Macaca fascicularis: one gene and its partner. The protein of the gene in region 1 binds, or shares a complex with, the protein of each later gene. Links are inferred from orthologs where the notes say so. Each region holds a gene or a part of one and is shown in the gene's direction. Other genes may lie near its edges.

Region 1 (11,686 bases):
TTGAGTGTGGTAGTGTAGAATACCGTAATTTATTTTGTCATTCCTCAAATTAATGAGCATTAGATATGACCACTTTAACCATATGGAACACATGTTAGCCAAAATTATCACAAGTCTTTGTATTTTATTTTAAATGTTTGCATCATAAGAAACATAAATCTCATGAAGTCTGACATCAGGAAATCTGAAGATAAATTAGACCTAAAATGGGATATAATTTATATAGTTAGAAATTTTACAATTTCTATTTGTTTTTAATTTCGATGCTGTTGCTTTCAGTAAAGAAGACAATAATAAATATAATGTGTTATTTATATTGCCCTAGTAACTTATGTCCAGATAAATTTATCAATTGCTTCAGAATTCTCTTTGTACTGTACAGAATATCGAGACACACTTTTATTTAATTCTTTTTAATTGGCAGTTAATGGCCTGCACTGTCTCCACAATATAATTACCATAATTCATTATCAGTAAATGATGGGTACCCCTCTAGAGAAAAACAAGGGCCATGGATCTAATTGCTGCAATTGAGACCTAAGCAACTGCTTATGGTTTATATCCCAATTCACATGCAAATAATGTCTATTTATAGACCAAGATTTACGATTTTTTTTGGTCTGTTTTTTTTTTTTTTTAGTTTGGAGCTCTTTCTATCTGACTGCTAATATCTGTCCCTCTTTTCTGTCCCCTCTCCATTTCCCACTCTAATGGCCTGGAGAGGACAGGGGATGAGAGACCAAGGACAGTCAGCTGGCTGGTCTTTTGTTTGACATGATCTTTTCTTCATGTCATCTCTCCCTCTTGGTCATTCTAGTGTGAGGCACTAAGTTCCTGAGAGCAAGGAACCAACCTGTTTTTTTAGTGGCAGCAACAATGCATACAGTATGGTTGCTGAATGAGGACTCCATGGCAGTAACTGCCCCACATAGTGGGTGCTGCCAAGGCCTGGAGAAGAGACGGCCTCACCCAATCTGATGTTTCACATGAGAATCTGACAGCTGAGAAATGAAGCTCACAGGTTATAGAAGTTGTAGCCAATGAATAATAAAGACACACACGAGCTTCCAAACAGCAGAGCATTAGCCCTGAAATAGGAGCATATACACCATGGAATACTATGCAGCCATAAAAAAGGATGAGTTTGTGTCCTTTGTAGGGACATGGATGCAGCTGGAAACCATCATTCTTAGCAAACTATCACAAGAACAGAAAACCAAACACCACATGTTCTCACTCATAGGTGGGAACTGAACAATGAGATCACTTGGACTCGGGAAGGGGAACATCACACACCGGGGCCTATCATGGGGAGGGGGGAGGGGGGAGGGGGGAGGGATTGCATTGGGAGTTATACCTGATGTAAATGACGAGTTGATGGGTGCAGCACAGCAACATGACACAAGTATACATATGTAACACACCTGCACGATATGCACATGTACCCTACAACTTAAAGTATAATAATAATAAAAAATAAATTAAAAAAAAAGAAATAGGAGAAAACTAGCAATTGTGGCATAATCTTAGGACTGGTTCTTATATGCTCTTTAAATTCTTATTTGTCCACATCTGCCAAGAAACCTGTCTTGACTGTGCCCAAGAAAAAGGAGAGGGCCCCTTCTTTGTGCTTCTTGACCTTGTACTTGTCTCTAGTTTTCTCTCATCAAATTGTAATGTGATCATTTATTTATGCAAGTCTAGACTATAAGCTCCTTGATGACAGGGTTTATACATGGTTTAGCTTTACAGCCTTAGAGCACAGTATTATGCCTGCCATGTAATTGGTGCTCAACAAAATGTTTGTTGAATTAATAAACAGCATCTCCCAGATAAAGATGATACCTGTTTATTATTGAATGTGCCAGCTCCTTGAAAGAGGAACCAGCTGAATTTTAAATTTCTGCTCTCAGAAATGTATTTCACCTGCTGATGAGAAGGCCACTTCTAGATAGCACTGAATTCACTTCTCCCACCCCCAGCTCCCCACAGGAGACATGACATCATTCTCAGTGCCATCTACCAGCTCCCTCTTTTCAGATGACTCTCTCTGTCTGGATCTCAGGGTCTTTATTAATAGTCTTTGCTATTTGTTAGATTTTTCTGGAATATTTCTAAGTCATTGTTGAAATCTTAACAATGGCCTAAGTTACAACAGGAAAAAAAAAAGCATTAGACAACAGAAATCATTTATTTTCAGTCTTCAGCTGTTTTAAATACTAGGAATGAGTAAAGACTAAATCTTTTGTCTGAGTGTATTTAAAGTTGGTATAACTTGTTGCTGCATTAAAAAATTACCCCAAACATACCGGATTGAAACAATAAACGTTTACTGTCTCATGTGTGTCCAGTGGTCATGGATTCAGCAGCAGCTTAGCTGGTTGGTTCTGGCTCATGAACTGTCATAAAGTTGCCATCAAGCTGTCTTCCAGGGTTACAGTCATCTGAAGGCTTGGCTGCAGCTGGAGGATCTACTTCCAAGGTAGCTCATTCCCATACCTCGAAAGCTGGTACTGACTGGTTGTTGACTGGAGCTTCAGCTCCTCTCAACGTGGACCTCTCCATAGTGTTGCTTGAGTATCCTCACAAGATGGCAACAGGCTTCCACCAGGGAGAGCAATCCAATAGAGAGCAAAGAGAAAACCCTACAATAACTTTGTGACCCAATTTCAAAGGCATACACTGTGACTTCTGCCATATTCTCATTGTTAGAAGCAAGTTAATAAGGTCAACACTCAAAGAGAGGGAATTGAAAAAAAAAGAGAGAGAGGGAATTAGGCTACACCTATTGAAAGGAATATCAAAGATTTTGTGGACATATTTTTAAACCACCACAGTAAGTTATCAAATAAATAGTTCAAAATGCTTAAATATACACAAGACTAGGCATTTCCTCTATGCATTTGTGTAGGTTTCCTTTAACATTTTAAAATGCATTATGGCAATTAAAAATTGTATCAGGTAGCATATATTGAATAGTCTGTATACATTCAATGTCAAACCTCAGTTTCCTCTATCTCTTTCAGGTCCAGAAAAAAAACAGTCCCTGACATCTATATCTGCAACCTGGCTGTGGCTGATTTGGTCCACATCATTGGAATGCCTTTTCTTATTCACCAGTGGGCCCGAGGGGGAGAGTGGGTATTTGGGGGGCCTCTCTGCACCATCATCACATCCCTGGATACTTGTAACCAATTTGCCTGTAGTGCCATCATGACTGTAATGAGTGTGGACAGGTAAGTGAAGGACTTTGAAATATCTTAATATAATTCAGAGGTGCCTGCGCTTCCCCAAGCTCATTCCAATTCCAACATCAGTTTTGGTTTATTACAGCAAAGCTTTTCTTCCTTTGCTTGTTTCATTGTAGGATTGATTACTTAAGAATATTTTGTTCAACTTTCACAGAGGTCTATTTTTAATGGAAAACATAAAACACAAAAATCTCCTTTTTTCTAATCATTCTTTTCAACTCAGTTTTATTTGCAATTCACTGCATGAAAAAAAATCACAAAACCGTGAAATATTAGAAACCAGAATGAATTCCCCCCATGAATTTCACAGTAAGGAAGCTGAGGCCCAAAGAGGTGAGGAGATCTGCTAGAAGCACATAGAGAATTAGCAGCAGAGCCAAGAATTAAAGTAGGTTTCCTTAGTCTCTGTCCAAGGCTATTTCTGATATGTCCACTGTCTCATACACTTGTTATTGCCTCATAGCTCTAAGGAATCAGTGGAGTAAATAGAGGTTCTTATATGACCATGAAGCAATTTCCCAGTGCCAAGAAGATCATCTTTCACAAACATTATTGTGATTGGTTAATACAAATGCTGTCATTTTATATTATTAGAAATGTATACCACTATGTCCTGGAATGTGCCATAGCCCCTTTCACCATCCATGTAAGCTAATGTTATTTGAGGAGATGATGGTGATAGTGAGTACTTATTGAGCCGATAAGTGGTAGAATCCAGTTCAGACCCAAATCATCTGACTCTAGAGATGGCAGGTAGTTGTAACTGCTTCAATCTCTGGCCTGTCTAGGAAGCATGCAAGCTAGGATGTGCCCTGCATTATCCGGATGCCAGAATGTCCACCCCAGGTCCTAACAGCTCACCTCAAACAGAAACAGGGCCTAAAGACAACCATAGTACTTCCAACAGTGTTACTCTGTCTTTCAGAAAAACCCACTTAAAATCTCCATCTGCCTTCTTCCCAACCCAACCCCAGCCCAACACATTTAATCCTCCTTTCTCTGATCTACTGTCTTTTTCCTTTGATTCAAATATATTACATAAATCACGTGTGTGTGTGTGTGCGTGTGTGTGTGTGTGTGATTTATTGTCTAGTTCCCTTGCACCTCAAATGTAAATTCCCCAAAGGCAGGTCTTTGTCCATAAATATATCATAAATGTGTGTGTAACGCTGCCTGGCACTCAGGTGCTAAAAAAATATTGATGAATGAATGAATGAATGTCTTGAAGGGTATGTTAAATTTCCCCGGGTCCATCCAGAAATCTTCCTGAACCCTCCCTCTTTCACCCTTCCAAATGGGACTCTTGGGTGGGGAAGTGATGAACCATTCTTTAGATGGACAAAAAAAGAATGACAAGGTTCATATAAATCATCCACTCTGACAAAAATGAATAATAATGGTAAAATTTTAAATATACTTTTATTTTTTTGCAAGAGAATTTTCAAAATATAAAGTTTCCTTCTCAACTTATAATTCGCATATTTTTAAATCAATATACTGCATAGGTCTAGTTAGCTCAGCTGATGCCAGCCACTGTGACTGTGTCATGAGAAAAGCCCCATAAACATGTCAGGGTTCCAATACCAGGAAGAGGGCCTTGAACAGGCCAGGCTCACTATGGAAAAGCAACCTAAGGTATAGACCATACCACTAGTAATCCCATTCTTGGGGATAATACGAGCTTCTTTATACACTGTGCCTTGGATGCAGGAGAATATTGCCTTTTTTTTGAGAAAAAAAAAAAGAGGGGTATACTCCTGTAAATCTTTTACTGTAAATGAAGTGAATGGGCATTTTCTGCCTTGGAACAGACAAACTGTGTATATTTTTTAATATTGACAGATTTTTCTCTGTATGTATACATGTACACACATGCATGCGTGTGTATCTTACTCGTAGTCTTTTGTTTTGTTTGGTTTTAATCCAATTGACATAGTATGCTAAAATTTCATTTCACATTTAAGACATCTGCCCTTTCCTTCCCCTCGCTCTGGAAAATCAGGTGGTAAGAAACAAATGAAGAGGCTATAAAACTGAACCATTACCTTCCTCACAGTTCTTGTAATTCTAACTCTACTAAAATCATTAAAGTTTAACAAAATCTGCAATTTTGTAAGAGAGAAATGAGGCTTGCTTTGTAAGATCATAACTAAATGTCGGTGCCATCAGTATGCCTTAGTGTTTACATATTTAAATCATTTTAATTGCCAATTTAATGGATCATACATTTCAAGTGTTTCCAATAACTCATTTTGCTTTCCCTAATTAGTGATAACTGCAAGTGTGTAGAATATCTAGTAGTCGGCTCCTACCTCCATAGCCATACAAAAACAATATATAAACACCCAAAATGTCAAAAATGTTTGCTTTCAAATGAAAGCTACCTAGACTTTCATTAGTGGCTACTTTTATAAATAAATTCTCTAAAACATCAGGAGTCAGTAAGTAGGAGCCAAAATTTGCAATTTATTCATTCATTTATTCAAAAAATATTTATTGAGCATGAACCATATGCCAGAGATTGTTGGACACAGGGGATACAGTGGCCTTAAACTAATAGTCAAGGCTCCTGCCCTCGTGGGGCTTTCATTCTAGTGACATAGACAGACATTAAGTGAAGAGTCCCACAAGTAAATGTTTATTTCCACATAGTGATAACACACTAGGAAGGAAAAATAGAGTCTCCCTATAATATTCTTTTACAGTCGTGGTCCCTTGTATAGAATGGGTGGTCAAACAAGTCTTCCCTAAGAGGGAGACGGTTAAATAGGGTCTTGAAGGAAGAGCAGGAAGAAGCAGAAGCAGATCCCGCCAGGCAGGTAGCACAGCATATACCTGACCTTGAAAGGGGAAGAGCTTGAGGAAGTCAAGGGAGAGACTGGCACAGGCTCCAGCTTGAGCAGCAGGCAGAACCAGGTGGGAAAAAAAGACCTGTGGAACATGGGAGGAATTCTGAGAATTTATAGAAAACCATTGAAAGATTTTCAGTTGGGGAGGGATGCTATCAGAGAAGATTCCTTAATTGCTTGATCCCATGACTTCATCATCCTATAATTCCAGTAAAACTGACGGCTGGGCTGCTATGCAGTCACTACGGTATCCACTTCCCCAGCAGGGAGAAAAGAGGCCCTTCTCTCCTTAGCCACAGGGAATGCATGTGCAGTGTGCAGAGGATGGGTAGCCGAGGAACCCTGGCCAGACCACTCTCTGCAACCAAAGGCCCCTTAACTGAATACAAATGTCCTGCTTCTGGTGCAAAATTGAAAGGGCAAAAGAAGAGGAAATTTTTTTATTTTTGTGAGTCTTCATTAAGTAGCTTTACAAAAACTTGGAGAAATTTAAGTGACCATAAAAACCATTTTTACATTTGTTTAATTTCTGCTGATACTATCCTCCACCACCCCCCAGCCCCCAGCAAAGCTGTGCTTTTTCAAATAGGCCTTCCTTCTGAATCTGAGCTCTTGTTTCTCATTCTTCAGTTTTCATTTTGCTCTGAAAAATTCTTTGGATTTGCTGGAGGACTAAATATATTAGATATGTCAGAATTTCAAGTTTGATTAATGATTACCACTTTTTTCCTGGCTGTAAAATGAAAAGAAAAAAAAATAAAGAAAAATGCTTCCCCATGAAATTAGCCCATTTCTTCCCTCTGGCTCCTAGCCTAAGTTCCTTAAGGAATTTGCATTGTCTATACTAGTCACACTTGTTCATCCTCACTGTGACTTCTGTGAGCTGAAACTCCATGAGCGTGGTGACTTTAGTATAAAGCCATCGGGGCAAAATGTTTGTTCTATGTTCCTGAATCCCTTTCTGCTGAGAGATTCTCTTAGCCCCACATTTTCCTCCTTCCTGCCTCTGTGTCAGTAAATCTTGCTGGGAAAAGGGTCATTTCCTCCTGGAGGAAATCCGTATTCAGAGACAAAGTTTTCCAGAGTCTCATTTACAGGACAAGCGCCTTTGTAAAGAGTGCACTGCAGAATTTTGCCATTATCAGTGTGTTCATAGAAGGAACAACTATTTCAGTGAGTGGTTTATTCAGACTTGCAGGGCCAAGAATTGTTTTCTCTACAGATACCAGGCAGCTCTTAAAAAATATAACTTTCTTTCACCCTGATAGAGGTGTGCTTCAGAGAGGACAATAATGCTAATAATTTACGCTCGTCATGAACCTTTCATCCTTGGAGCTCAGTGTTTTTATTGATTGTTCCAAAACTCTTCCTGACTGCTTTTGCAGGTACTTTGCCCTCGTCCAACCATTTCGACTGACAAGTTGGAGAACAAGGTACAAGACCATCCGGATCAATTTGGGCCTTTGGGCAGCTTCCTTTATCCTGGCATTGCCTGTCTGGATCTACTCGAAGGTCATCAAATTTAAAGACGGTGTCGAGAGTTGTGCTTTTGATTTGACATCCCCTGACGATGTACTCTGGTAAGTTGTTAAAACTTAAGAAAAATGAGTTGAATTAAGTTGTGAATTACTTCATTCTCCTTGTCAACATGTGAGCAGCCTCAAAGAGTATCCTTGTGGATCCTCTTCTCACCAGTATCTCCACTTAGGTCCCTCCACACATGCAATCAAGGTGATAGTTTGATTTTTAAGGAGAGGATAACCTTTAGAAAAGATTTTGAATTCAATCATGTAACCTCAGTGGACACAAATATATTTAAATAGGATTTTAAAGATTCATAGCAGCCAGATGCAGTGGGAATGCAGCAATCAAGGGAGGTAAGGAATTTCCAGAGTCACTCAAACTCAAAGCTCATCAGTATGCAATTGCAGTTTGCTGAAATTGTGTCCCCTATAAAGATATGTTCAAGTCCTACACCAGCTCCCCCCTGCCATACCTGTGAATGTGACCTTATTTGGAAATAGGGTTTTTTCAGATGTAATCAAGCTAAGTTAAGGTCTTGCTGGATTAAGGTGGGCCCAATGACTATTGTCCTGATAAGGAGAAGCAGATTTTAAGAAATACAGAGACACACAGAAAAGAGACATGTGAAGACAGAGGCAGAGATTGGAGTGATGTATCTGTAAGCTAAGGAACACCAAGGATTGCCAGAAACCAGCAGAGAGGGTAGGAGGGGGCATAGAGCAGATTCTCCTTCAGAGTTTCTAAAGAACCAAACTTGCCAGCACCTTGATTTCAGATGCCTAGATTTCAGAGCTGTGAGCGAATAAATTTCTATTGTTTTAAGCTATCCAGTTTGTGCTAATTTCTTACAGCAGTCCTAGGAAACTAATGCAACTACCATAGCCATTTTATGCATTTTAATTTAAAAGGAAATTAAAAGTCTTCAATGTGAAATTTGAACATAGAATTGGAGTTCATGATTAAATTCTTTGAGCAACTACCAATGGCCAATAACTGTGTTAGATATTTTTACATATGCTATCTCAAGTCAGTCCGGCAGATCCCTTTCTCCGACTCTATAACTTGTCAAACAGATGAGTCATTTCTGCATTATGTGGACGCAGCCAAAGAAGGATGGCAGTAAAGGACCTGCAAATCCACTAATCCAGTAAAAAATAAAATTCATATACATGCATGTTTTGTTCAGTTTAGTATAAAAAAGTACTATAGACTAGGTGGCTTGTAAACAATAGAAATTTATTTTTCACAGTTCTAGAAGCTGGAAATCCAAGATGAAAGTGCCAGCATGATCAAGTTCTGATGACAGCCCTCTTCCAGGTTGCAGTCTGCCAACTTTTCATTCTATCCTTATGTGGCAAAAGAGAGAGACAGGAAGCAAGCTCTCTTGTGTCTCTTCTTATAAGGACACTATTCCCATTCATGAAGGCTCCACTCTCATGACTTAATTACTTCCCAAGGACCCCACTTCCTCATACCATTATATCGGGGGTTAGGTTTTCAACATAGCAATTTTGAGGGAACACAAACATTTAGAACATAATAGTGCAACATAGATAGGACTGGACTTCCAGTTCCAAAATGGCAGCATAGAAGCAAGCTGACTGAATGCCCCCCTGAGCCCTCAGAAAATCAAAAACAAATATACAGCACCAAGGTTAGCATTAGCAATATCCCAGAACTCCAGAACTCAAATATGAGGATGAGACGGTTCCTCAGGCTTCAGAGTAGTGAAAAAAGATATGAAAAAGCCTCCAAGCTGACTGTAATAGAATCAGATTTCCACATCCATGACACCCTTCTCCCCCATTCTGCTTGACACCAAACACATGAAAAATTTCCCCCCAACTCACAGTTTCTACACTGAAGAAAACACGATCAAGGTAGACAACCAGCTTTCCCACCACCTTGGGTTCCCTGACAAAATATCTGTCTGTGCCTTAACCTATGGGAAGTATCACAAGTGCTGGAAGGGAGAAATATCCCTGAGAACAGGCAGAGACAAAGTAGGGAGGTGGGACAGTTACTCTGTAGCTCAGCCAAAGGAGACACTAAATCAGAGTGGCTATTCAATACCACTACACTGCAGGAGGTACATTCAGCAGGTCCCCTGGACAAACCCCTAGCCAGGCTTCCCACACATCTGGGATATCTCCTTTGGGACCTCCCCCATTCAGGACAGCCAGTGACTGATGGGTTACTAGAGCGAAAGCAAATCTGGGCTTAAGGTGCAACCTAGAGCCAAAAGGAGACAACAACCTAGCGATAAAGACTCTCTAAGAAAATATATGCAATAAAAACCAAAACAAGTCAGACAGAGAAGACTGGAATAAATAGCAAATCCTCAATGCAAAGACATAGTTGTACATCCACAAGAAGCAACAGCAAACAGCAAACCATGATCTCTCCAAATAGACAAAGCAGGGAACCAGTAACTGACCCTAATGAGACAGCAATATGTGAGCTCTCTGGCCGATAATTCAAAATAGTAGTTTTTAGGAAACTCAGTGATCTCCAAGATAACACAGAAAAGCAATTCAGAAATATATCAGAGAAATTTAACAAGGAGATGAAAATAATTTAAAAATTAAAAAAGAAATCTTGGAATTGAGAAATACGTTTGCTGAACTGAAAAAGTTACTAAAAATTCTCAACAGCAGAATGGGTCAAACAAAGGAAAGAATTAGTGAGCTCAAAGACAGGTTATTTGAAAATACACAATCAGAAAAAAAAAGGAATGAAAAGAAATGAAGACTGTATACAAGATATAGAAAAAATTACTTCAAAAGACAAAATCTAAGACTTATCAGTGTTCAAGAGGGAGTTGAGCAAGAGCAAGAAGTAGAAAGCTTATTCAAAGAAATAATAACAGAAAATTTCCCAAAAATTGAGAAAGATGTAAATATCCAGATATGAGAAGATCAGAGAACATCAAACAAAATCAACCCAAATAAGACTCTACCCCAAGGCAGATAATAAACTTTCAAAAGTCAAAGACAAAGATAGAACTCTAAAATCAGTAAAAGAAAAGAAGCAAATAACGTGTAAAGGAGCTCTAATTCATCTGGATATGGACTTCTTACTAAAAACCATATAGGCCAAGAGGGAGTAAAATGACATTTTCAAACTGCTAAAGAAAAAAAACTAAAACAAAAACAAAAAAACCTGCCATCCAAGATATTGCATCTATCCTTTGACTGTGAAGAAGACATAAAGTGTTTCCCAGACAGGCAGAAGCTGAAGGAATTTACCACTGTCAGATCTGTCTTATAAGAAATGCTAAAGGGAGTTCTTCTGTTGGAAGGAAAAAAAAACACTAATGTGCAAAAAAAACATTTGAAGGTATGAAACCCCTGGATAAAATTAAATACATTAACAAGCCCAGAATGCTCTAATACTGTAATTTTGGTACATAATCCACTCATAATTATAGCATGAAGCCCAAAGACAAATCTATCAAAAATGATAACAGCTGTAGCAACCTGTTAAGAGACAGATAATATGAAAATATGTAAATTGAGACAACTAAAAGTTAAAATGTAGGGGAATGGAGTTAAAGTGTAGTTCTTTCCACTTGTTTCTTTGTTTCTATTATTTTCTTTGTGATGTAAAATAAATAATCATCTCTTTGGAATAACTTGTAAGATATATGTTTTTTGTCAACATCATTGTAACCACATTGCAAAAATCCATAACAGATTTTAAAAATAAAAAGTAATGAACTAAGACATTCCATCGAAGAAAATCACTTTTCCACAAAGGACGATGGTAAGAAAAGAAGAAAGGAAGAGAAAAGTTGCAGAACCAGAAAACAAGCAACAAGATGGCAGTAGTAAGTCTTTACTTATCAATAATAATACTGAATGTAAATAGTCTCAATTTTCCAATTAAAATGCAGTGAGTGGCTTGATAAAGAAACAAGACTCAACTCTATGCAGCCTGCAAGAAACCCACTTCACCTCTAAAGACACACATAGCCTGAGAGTGAAGGGATGGGAAAAGGCATTCCATACAACTGGAGATCAAAAATATCAAGAGTAGCTATATTTAGATAAAATACACTAC
Region 2 (10,865 bases), on another chromosome or scaffold:
CATAGAACTGCATACATGTGTCCCAGGAGTCAGAGAAACTGGAAGTGGATCCAGTGGAAAGTGGAGCAGTCACAGGCCTGACTGCTGCTGAGCCAATGACATGAGCCAGCAGATAAGCGACATCATGTGTGAACCGCATGTGACATCTGCTTCACTTCTGCTCTCCAATCTTATACAAGAATGTCTCGTGTGGCCCACTCCAATTGGAAACATAGATAAAGATAAGAAAATTCTGGGGTGGGGGGGCAATTTCTGGGGTGAGAGGAATATATACGTAATATATATAACTCTTACAACTCAGTCATAAAAAGAAACATCCCTCACCCAACAAAATGAGCAAAAGATGTAAACAGACACTCCACAAAAGAAAATATATGAATAGCTAACAAGCACATGAAACAGTGTTCAACATCATTAGTCATTAGGAAAATGTAATTAAAACATGATATCACTACTCATCTACCAGAATGGCTAAAATTAAGACTGACAACATCAAATGCTGGTGAGGCTGTGGAGCAATCAAAGCTCTAATATAGTCTTTGTTGAAGTATAAAATGGTACAATTACTTTGGAAAATAACGATTTCTTACAAAATTAAAGATACATCTATCTTATAACCTAGCAATTCCATTCTTATATATTTACCCAAGAGAAATAAAAACACATGTCCACAAAAAGACTTTTGCAAGAATGTAGGTAGTGTTATTTGTAATAGCCAAAAACTGGATACAATTCAAGAGTCCATCAACAGGAAAAGAGACAAGTCAATTGTAGTATATTTATACAACAGTAATAAAAAAGGAAGGAACTACTGCTTCTTACAACATTAAAGATGAATGTCAAACGTGTTGAGTGAAAGAGGCCTTCCATAAAAGACATCATACTGTATATTTCCAAAATAGGCAAAACTAATTCACAGCGGAAAAAAATCAGAACAGTGATTGTCTAAGAGCAGAGTTGGAATGAGGGGTGGGAATGGGGAAAATGGTGGTACATGTAAACTCTAACAAGGTAAGACATAACTTTCTGGGGTGAGGGTAATGTCCTGTATCTTGAAAGGACTTCGGGTTTCAAAAGCATACACATTTGTCAAAAATTAGCAAATATGCACTTATGGTTTATGCATTTCACTTTCCATAAATTTTACTTCAAAAAAAAGCTGTAAACAACTATTAAATTCCAGTTAATGATATGTATGTTGAAGTATTTAGTGAAAAGCATACTGATATATGCAATATACTTTGAAATGAATTAAAAGAATAAGATGATTAATAAAGGGATGGAAGGGATAGAAGTGAAATGTTAATGGTAAACTCTAGGTGAAAGTGTATGGGTTGTTTACTATAGAAATCTGAGAAGGAATTTTAACTTTTCTTACATCTTTTGATAATTTATATAAGTGAGCAATCTCGGCTTTTACACTCATACAATTAGCCACTAAGAAATGATGATTCTCAGTAAGCCAATGGCCAACTGCCATTTAACTTATCGGCAACACATAGCAAAGATGTGTTAATTGGAGCAAAGAGAACTTTAATATAAAGTGACTTACAAATATATAGTGTCAGCAGTAGTTCTACAGAAAAAGAAGATCATATTTGATATAAGCCTTTTGCCTTTGCAAGGTTTACTGAACCACCCAAACCCATCTAGCAATAGTTTTACTTCTCCAAAGTTCCCTTCTACTACTTGGGGACATTCCATTTTCAGCATCAATGAAAAAGAAGTCTGCTATGCTCCACTGCACATCACAGTAACCAATTTTTTTTTTAAGTTATCATTAAAAAAATTGGAAACTATCTCCATAATTAAATGGTTATGGCAAAACCTCACAATGTTCAGAGGCTATGACAGTTTAAACAAAATAAAGCATTAACTTTTCTAAACTATCAAAATCATTTGGATTTGGTCCCAATTTTGAGTGAAGATCAGTCAAGCCAATTCATCCGGCGGAAATGTAAAACAAAATACATAATTATTAATATTTATTACCCTCCCAGAACTGCATCTAAGAAAAAAGATTTCCATTAACAAGGACTTTTTTTTTTTTTTTTTAAGACAGTCTTGCTCCGTTGTCTGGGATGGCACTATGTCTGCAATGGCACTATGTTGGCTCACTGCAACCTCCATCTCCCAGGTTCAAGCAATTCTCCTGCCTGAGCCTCTTAAGTAGCTGGGATTACAGGTGCCCACGACCATACCAGGCTAATTTTTATATTTTTAGTAGAGATGGGGTCTCACCATGTTGGCCAGGCTGGTCACAAACTCCTGACCTCAGGTGATCCACCCACCTCGGCCTCCCAAAGTGCTGGGATTACAGGCGTGAGCCACCGCATGCAGCCTAACAAGGACTTTTATAGATTAAACAGGCACATCCAAACCAGGTTCAAACCAAGGGAAACAAATTAGGGCACAACTAACAACATTAAAAAGATAAGGAAGCTCTAAGATCAAAAAAGTCAAGGGATGTCAGAGTCCTTTGTTTATAATTATACTCACAAAACATTTACTGAGAAAGATCTTAATAGTCCCCGAGAAAATCAACAGTTAAGTCTACCTCAGATAAAATGTACTTAAGTGAAATAGAAAAATTATACAATAATGTAAATTCCTAAAACAAACTAAAAAAGAAACAGAGAAGCTAAATGTTCCTACAGCTACTGAAGAAAGTAAATCAATTCTTAACAAAAATCCTACCAAGAAAACACCAAACCCGCAGTCTAACAAGACAGAAAAGAAAGGATAAATCTTGCCTCAAATGTATGAAATTAGTACAACCTTAATATCAAACCAAAGTCAATATAAAAAAGGAAAATCACAAATTAATCTTTCTTATTCATAAAAAGTAAATTTGATTTAAATTTGATTTAGTAAAATGTACTAAATCAAATATTGCCAAATTGAATCCAATCATTTTTTTTTTTTTTTTTGAGATGGAGTCTCGCTCTGTTGCCCAGGTTGGAGCACAGTAGCACGATCTCGGCTCACTGCAAGCTCTGCCTCCCGGGTTCAAGCCATTCTCCTGCCTCAGCCTCCCGAGTAGCTGGGACTGCAGGCGCCCGCCACCACGCCCGGCTAATTTTTTTTGCATTTTTAGTAGAGATGAGGTTTCACCATGTTAGCCAGGATGGTCTTGATCTCCTGACCTTGTGATCCACCCACCTCGGCCTCCCGAAGTGCTGGGATTACAGGCGTGAGCCACTACGCCCGGCCGAATCCAATAATTTAAAGGTTTCTTTCATGAACACATGGTTAGTTTAACGTTAGAAAAATCTGTTAATATTTCCAAAGCCTGAAGGAGAAAATGATCTGGTCATCTCAATATATGCAAAAAAAAAAAAAGCATTCAATAATATTCAACAATTCATGATAAAAACTATTAGTAAGCCAGAAATAGAAAAGAACATCCTGTACTTTATAACAAGTATCTACAAGAAACCTACATCAAACATTATGCTCCATGGTGAAGCATTAAAATCATTATCTGTAAAATCAGTAACACTGCAAGGATATCACTTATCTCCATTTTCAGTAGTTACTGGAGGCTTTAGCCAGTGTGTATGAACACACGAACAGACACACAGACATGTATACACAATATAGATGAACTGAGGAGAAAGAGATAAAATGCCATTATTATATCATTTATATCAATTGTCTTCATACAAAATCCCAAAGAATCTATACATTTATAAACTATTAAAAAAAAAAAAGAGTTTGGAAAGTTTTTTCTGTTATCAAATTACTATGCAAAAGCCAAACGCACATGCACATACCAGCAATAATGTTGCAAATATCATTTTTAAAAAATACAATTTATAATAACCAAAAATAAGAAATTCAATTAAAATGATAAAGAATTATAATTCTCTCAACAAAGGTATGCAAGACCTTTATGAAGAAAAGAAAATGTCATTAAAAGATTAAAGAAGAAAAAAAAATTAAAGAAGATCTAAGCAAATATAGAAAAATGCCATGCTCATAGATAATAAATTACCTTCAGGATATCAATCCTTCTCCAAAATTAATCTTTAAAACCAATGTGATTATAGGTTGAGCATCCCAAATCTGAAAACCCCAAATCCAAAAATGCTCCAAAATCTGAAACTTCTTGAGCATTAACAGTATGCTAAAAAATATATATATTTACTGAAGCATTTCAGATTTCAGATTTTGGGATGCTTAACTGATATAATGCAAATGTTCCAAATTCTGAAAAAAAATCCCAAATCCAAAAATACTTCTGGTCCTAAGTGTTTCAGATAAGGGATACCTAACTTGAACCTTAATATCCTGTCAAGTGTTCTTACAGAACTTGAAAAGCTGATTTTAAGATTTATATGGAAAATAAATGACTAAGAATAGCTAAGGAACTACTGAAAAAGAAACACATGTGGGTGAGTAGAGGGCTGGGAAATTTGACCTATCAAGTATTAAAAATTATTTTAAAGTTATATTAATACTGTAGATTTAGCTGTGGAATAGAACATTCTGAAAGAAGCCCACACATATATAGAAATCTGATATACTGCAGAGATGGCACTGCAGATTAGTGGGGACAGGACGAATTCTTCGAGAAATATATAAGGACATTGGGAAAAGTAAAATTACATCTCTATCTTATATCATACACAAAATTACAGATGAATTACAAACCTAAACATGAAAGTCAAAATATTTAAACTTTTAGAAGAAAACATATGAAAACACATTAATAATCTAAGGATTGAGAAGGATTTCTTAAAAACAGCACATTAAAAGTAGTTGCCATAAAGAAAAAAGAAAAAAATTTAACATTAAAATTAATCAGTTTGGTTCACCAAAAGACACCATAAAGGGGTTGAAAATATGTCACAAACTGAGAAAATAATTGCAACATATATAACTAACAATTAATATCCAGAATATATAAAGAACTCCCATAAATATATTAGAAAAAGGCAACCCAATAGAAGAATGGACAAAGCAAAAAAAAAAAAAAAAAAGCATTTAACATAAGAGGAAACATAAATGGCTCATAAACATATAGGAAGACACTTGACCTCTTTGGTAATTAGGAAAATACAAATTAAAAGGACAATGAGATGCCTAAGAGTCAGCTAGGACATAGAACAATGGAAATGCTCATACCCTGTTTATCGGAGGCACAAATCGCTTACCAGTATGTGGGAAAACATTTTGGCATTAGTAAAGCTGAACATATACATACTCCATGACCCAGCAATTCCATACTGAGAAATATACTCTAGAAAAATTCTTACATATATGTACCAGAAGACATATAAAAGAATGTATTATCTTACTCATTGGGGTCAAAATTAGAAATTAGCTCTGAAATGTTTAATTAAGTCATACAATATACACTCATCATCCAAAAGTAATGTTTATGGGCACATAAATATTATTTTCATGTACTTATTCATTAATTGCTAAATTCATTAACAAATATTTGTACCTATTATCCTTTTGTAAATGCAGAGATAAAATACACCTGACAGGTCAATTTTTGATATAGCATGAATGGCTTTTTGTTCACACTGACAGGCATATGTACCTTAATCACCAAAGACTATATCAAGTATTTATAAAAGAAAATCCCTTTTGAGGATTATTTCAGTTTAATCAGGATTAAAAGGAAATAAAACTTTATCCTTATCATCCTTGAGTGAAATAACTTGAGTTTTAATATCTTTACTTAATCAGAAAATACATGGAAGGAAACAATAATATAGAGAGAGCCTGATGTCCTGTGGTCTTCCTTAATAACAACCCATTTTCAAGAGACTATAATCTACTCAACAGAAAGCATTCTACCAAGGATCTTAATCAGATGCTGAGAAAATTCACACTCAAAATAAACAACGTACCACTAAAACCAAAACAATAGGTATTAGCAGCTGCATAAAGGTTAGCCTCAATCTGTTGAGTCATTTCCAAAATGATGAAAAGTATAATTCTTTGAAGTACTTTTTATTCAAGCTGGAAAATATATAAAGATACAGAATCGTTTGCCAACCAGGCTATTTTTCATTTTCTTTCTTGTTTGACTGTATGCGAACATCAAACTAAGAATGGCAAAAATGAATCTCTCTTCCTACATATTAATACTAACTTTTTCTTTGTTTTCTCAAGGTATTTTACTTTCAGCATCCAAGCCCATAAGAAATTTAGACGATGACATGGTATTTAATACATTCAGGTTGGGGAAAGCCTTTCAGAAGGAAGACACTGCAGAAGAATCAGTTATTGCTCCTTCCCTGGAACAATATAAAAACGATGAGAGCAGTTTCATGAACGAAGAGGAAAACAAAATTTCAAAGGTAAGTGGCAATGTGACTTGTCATTTATTTCAATGAAAATTTAAATGATTCTTACAAATCCTCTGAAAAGTAAAACTAATACTTTTATAAATAGAAGTATATGCAGTCACAATATGCATTAGGACAACTGACGATATTTCTTGCATGCCAGGTAGTTCTTCCATCCTGGAAAACCCTCTTATCTGAAAGGTTTTTTTTTCTCCTATAAATTTGCATCTAAGGTATTTTTAAAGAGTCAAAAACAGTGCAGAGCATCTTTGAATTGATCGACAAGAATATTATGCAGTTTATTACAGTTCCACTCTGAATACGATAGCTAAAAAACAAATCAACTTTCTCTTTACAGAACACAGGCTCCAAACATAATTTCTTAAATCATGGTCTGCCACTGAATCTGGCTATAAAACCTTATCTTGCACTAAAAGGATCTGTAGCTTTTCCAGCTGAAAATGGAGTTCAGAATACTGAATCAACACAAGAAAAGAGAGAAATTGGGGATGAAGAAAACTCAGCTAAATTTCCTATAGGAAGGAGAGATTTTGACAGTGAGTAGTCTTTTCAAAATTCAATTCTACGTCCTACCACCATTAAACAGAACTCTGAGTTAAAGCGAATTTGGATGCAATCATAACAAAATCAAATAAGACCATGGCTCAATTACACCTGCCAAAAATGTGGGATTGAATAGCAATAATTAATTATTATCATTTTGGTTTACTCAGAATTAGTTATGCTAGATCCATTCTTTTTTCTTAATAAATTTTGTGTGATAATCATAGTCCTTTAAACAATTTAAACTTTCTTCTTCCTTCAGTGCTCAGATGTATGCTGGGAAGAGTCTACCGACCTTGTTGGCAAGTCTGATACCTGTTGGTCCACATCATCTTTTCAGAAGAAAATAAAAGCATTTAATTGTCAATGGGAGGAGAAGCCCCTAATGCTACTATAACTTGTGCATGTTAAATGTTTGTTTTAAAAGAAAGTAGTGTTAAGATGTATCAGTAACTGAAATTATATGCTTTTACTGTGCATTAAACTTTGTGAAAATTCTGCATAATTATGACTTACTAGTATTTTTAAACAATGCTTAACATACTAACCTTACATACACTGTAGACCAAAATAATAAATCATCATAATTTACACCTTGATCTCTTAAAAATTAAGCATGTCTTTGGTGAATGGTTTATAGATACATAAACCTAAAGCATATAAGACACAAATTTATAGTCTAAAAAACTGAGTTAACTTTGCCTGGCCAGGAATCAACTTGTCCTTGGCAGTACATTTATTACTTTTTGCTACTTTAGCTAGTTTGCTGTACAATTTATTCTGTGAATCATTTGATTTCTTAGGTATTTTAACATTTTTATGTTGAGGTGGTTCATTTCCATTATCACAGAGAATATTTTCACCATCCAAATCCACCTGTTTCCTTTTTGAGCTTTTATTTCCTGTCTGACTAGTTGATTTTCTTGATACTTTTTCATTTTTACTTCTGTCCAGATGAACATTTCCAAAACTCTTTCCAATTGTTGACCTTCCAACAGATGAATTTACACCCTCTGTTATGCAAGATAAAAAGTGGAAAGGAATTATATAATATTTAGTACTAATATTCACGAGAACTTTACAATAAACTCTAAAAATGGCTAAAGAATATTCAAATGTTTATTTTTAAAGTAAAATAATGTTATAAATAATATGATTAACAAATACAGCTACATTACTATCCCATTACTTTTAATTTTACCATAGCACCTCTGAGTTAACTTTGGCCAGTAATCAACTTGTCAGCCCTACTAACAAATATTTGTTTGAATGCATGACATTTAATCCTTAAACATATGCTACAAATTACTTCTTAAACACATTTAGTTAAATCAAACTATGTCCTATTCCTATCCATAAATTTGTACTTAGATTTAACTTTTTAAATAAACTGAGGTCTTTACAAATATAACCTTTCACATTTCACAGTACTTTGCAAAAATAATCTAATTTTACTTAAGTTAAAACTAATTAGTAGACTAGAATTAAATTGCTATTTAATTGCATAAATAAGGTCAATTACCAGAAAGGTCATTTTCCATGTGAAGCACACACAAAGGCTTTGATGCTAAATTAACATTATTCCAATTATCCTTGCTTATCATGTAGTCATCTTTATAAGTACAAGCAAATTGGGATCTAATTAAAGTTTGCTTCATCTGGTAACAGAAAGAAGAAAATATGCCATTTATTCATTATTTTATTTCTTCATCTAGATGGACACACACTCTATAGTAATCAAAGTATAACAACTTCCCTTAGAAATTCTATTACTCATTGAGAACCTCTAACCTTTTATATCTCATAGTTTGCAAACTCATTCATCGCTATGGCTAGCATTTTTGTTCTTTTCCAAAATACTAGCTTTATGTATTTTTTTATGTTTTATTTTTTGGTAACAGTTACAAAACAATCAATTTTAGACTCTATAGGGCTTTGTTACACATTCCTATGTCAGTGCTGCTTTGGAGCATCTTATTGTAAGTAAAATAACAATACAGGTGATATACATAATCATAGAAAAATACAAGTTCTTCATCCTAAGAAGAACACAACTCTTGGAAAAAATAGCATAAAATTCAGGAAATTAGGGAGGGAAGAAATGCTAAGACGAAGAAAAGAATTAGATGAGGCCAATCAACAACAGGAAACTAGCAAAGAAATAAACTACAAGATAAAACAAAATGATATAGGAAAGACATTATTTCTCGAGCATTTAGGAAAACAAGAAAGAGGATTCAATATATCATTCTAGAAAGATTTGACCAAGTGACTTAATGGTCAGAAATTCAAAATATACTCTTGCATTTATCTTCAAATATCAAATAGGAGGGCCTAACTTTCTACACAAATAGAAGAAAATTACAAAGATAAACTTAATTCTTGACCATTGAAAAAGATGCCAAAAAAAGTAGTTTTGGAAATGTATTCCACAAACATAAACCAGTGAGCTATTGGGGTATAGAAATTAATTTTAGAACAAAGTAGCCTATATAAATAATGCCGATTTCAACAATTACAGATGGTGTGTAATACCATTCAGGTTTAATGGAGAGATGTCTCCAAATAGAAGTCACCTGAAATCGTTTTATGAAATAGACAAAGTTTCAAATACATAATTCAATAATGATGACTTCAATAATTCAAAAATTTAAAACTTTGAATGTAACTACATTACCCTGATTACCACTTACAGAGTATTTGTTGATACAGTCATGAAATCTAAAACAGCATGACTTTACATTATACATTGAGTAGTTGTATATTATGTTATATACTCAGAGATCGATGCATTAATTCACTCAGATGTTTGTAAAGATAACAGCAGTGAAATCTACTGACTACGGCTTAGAAAAAGTCAGAATAATCGCTTGTCCAGCTGCTTCATAAAAGCAAGTTTTATTAGGATGACACATTTTGTTTCTGACTAATGAGGTTTGTGACAGTCTCCATCTCCCAGATCACTAAAAATTATGTTTCATGTGCTTACATGAAGCATTAGACAATTGGAATTTTATCTTCCATTTAAGCATAAAAATGTACAAAACTGAAAATAAACGTGAAAATACACAAGATCAAAAACTATTTTTTAAAAAGTTGAACAGAATGGACTCTCAAAAACAAATGGGACTACAACCCACTACCTTCATGAATCCCTATGAATGCAACACTTATTATATAGCTTCTACCACAAGATGCCCTATATATAACTGAAGACTTTAAGTAGCTCTTTCTGGACTTTATTAATCCTATAACTACAGATTTAAAGCACTTGATAAACCTATTTAAATAAGTTTTATTTATAAAATTGACTCTATGTTATACTACATAATTGTAGCATTATCCATGAACTTTTATTTCCACCTGCAACACCAGTACTAACTGTTGATATTATCTTTTCACACATTATTTTCACTTCACAGAAGTTATGGCTTATAGAGAATTATAAACTTATTGCTTATAAAGAGTTATAAAGAGTATAGTAAGACCACGCAGGCAAATAGATGCTGAGTGGCTGGCTTGGATCACTCTTTGTACCCCAGTAGTGATGGCACCTAGAGTTAGCTTGGGAGATGTTAGCTTCTCACTGCAAAACCTTCATGAGCACCACCCATAAAACATGCTAAATAAAAATATAATACTAAATAATAATTATATTATTTAGTACAGAAAACTAATGTTTCTTCAATCTCATGTTTAGCAGGAATAAAAATTTCTTTAGAATGTTTCATTACTTTTATTAATTTTTAACATATAGTCTAGGTAAAAAAATCTTTGCTTGCTGGGCAAATAGTCACAAAATAAGTGTGATAGCTCTCCTTACAACTAGATTTCCTCAATTCAGGCTCCTCCATAGACAAATTCTAGAATCCTCAGTGACCACAGTAAAATTTCAGAAAACTACCATCACAGGCAATGGATTCCTGAAGTACTGAAAACAAATTCAGATGTAAAAGAAAAATAATTAATGACTTTTTCTACCATGAAAAATAT

The links.
Region 2: the proteins of MCHR2 (region 1) and PMCH are in contact, whole or in part, in a cryo-EM structure (PDB 8WST), measured with the Homo sapiens proteins. The link is inferred for Macaca fascicularis from reciprocal best matches to the Homo sapiens genes MCHR2 and PMCH. Residues at the interface, in NP_001035269.1 of Homo sapiens: His82, Gln92, Trp93, Gly96, Gly97, Thr110, Asp113, Gln117, Ile175, Phe177, Val181, Ser183, Cys184, Ala185, Phe186, Leu188, Thr189, Ser190, Pro191, Val194, Tyr197, Thr198, Tyr267, Gln271, Asn274, Met277, Glu278, Gln279, Pro280, Phe284; in NP_002665.2 of Homo sapiens: Leu151, Arg152, Cys153, Met154, Leu155, Gly156, Arg157, Val158, Tyr159, Arg160, Pro161, Cys162, Trp163.

Annotation. Positions count from the first base shown.
Region 1 is NC_088378.1:75,385,996-75,397,681, forward strand, and holds part of MCHR2 (melanin-concentrating hormone receptor 2), read left to right. Parts: intron 1-3,026; coding exon 3,027-3,236; intron 3,237-7,485; coding exon 7,486-7,680; intron 7,681-11,686. UniProt on the Homo sapiens protein: Receptor for melanin-concentrating hormone, coupled to G proteins that activate phosphoinositide hydrolysis.
Region 2 is NC_088385.1:109,184,591-109,195,455, reverse strand, and holds PMCH (pro-MCH), read left to right. Parts: upstream 1-6,022; 5' UTR 6,023-6,071; coding exon 6,072-6,320; intron 6,321-6,321; exon of another isoform or gene 6,322-6,666; coding exon 6,667-6,873; downstream 6,874-10,865. Other genes in the region: PARPBP (PCNA-interacting partner), read right to left, coding at 7,545-7,885, 8,395-8,530. UniProt on the Homo sapiens protein: MCH may act as a neurotransmitter or neuromodulator in a broad array of neuronal functions directed toward the regulation of goal-directed behavior, such as food intake, and general arousal. May also have a role in spermatocyte differentiation.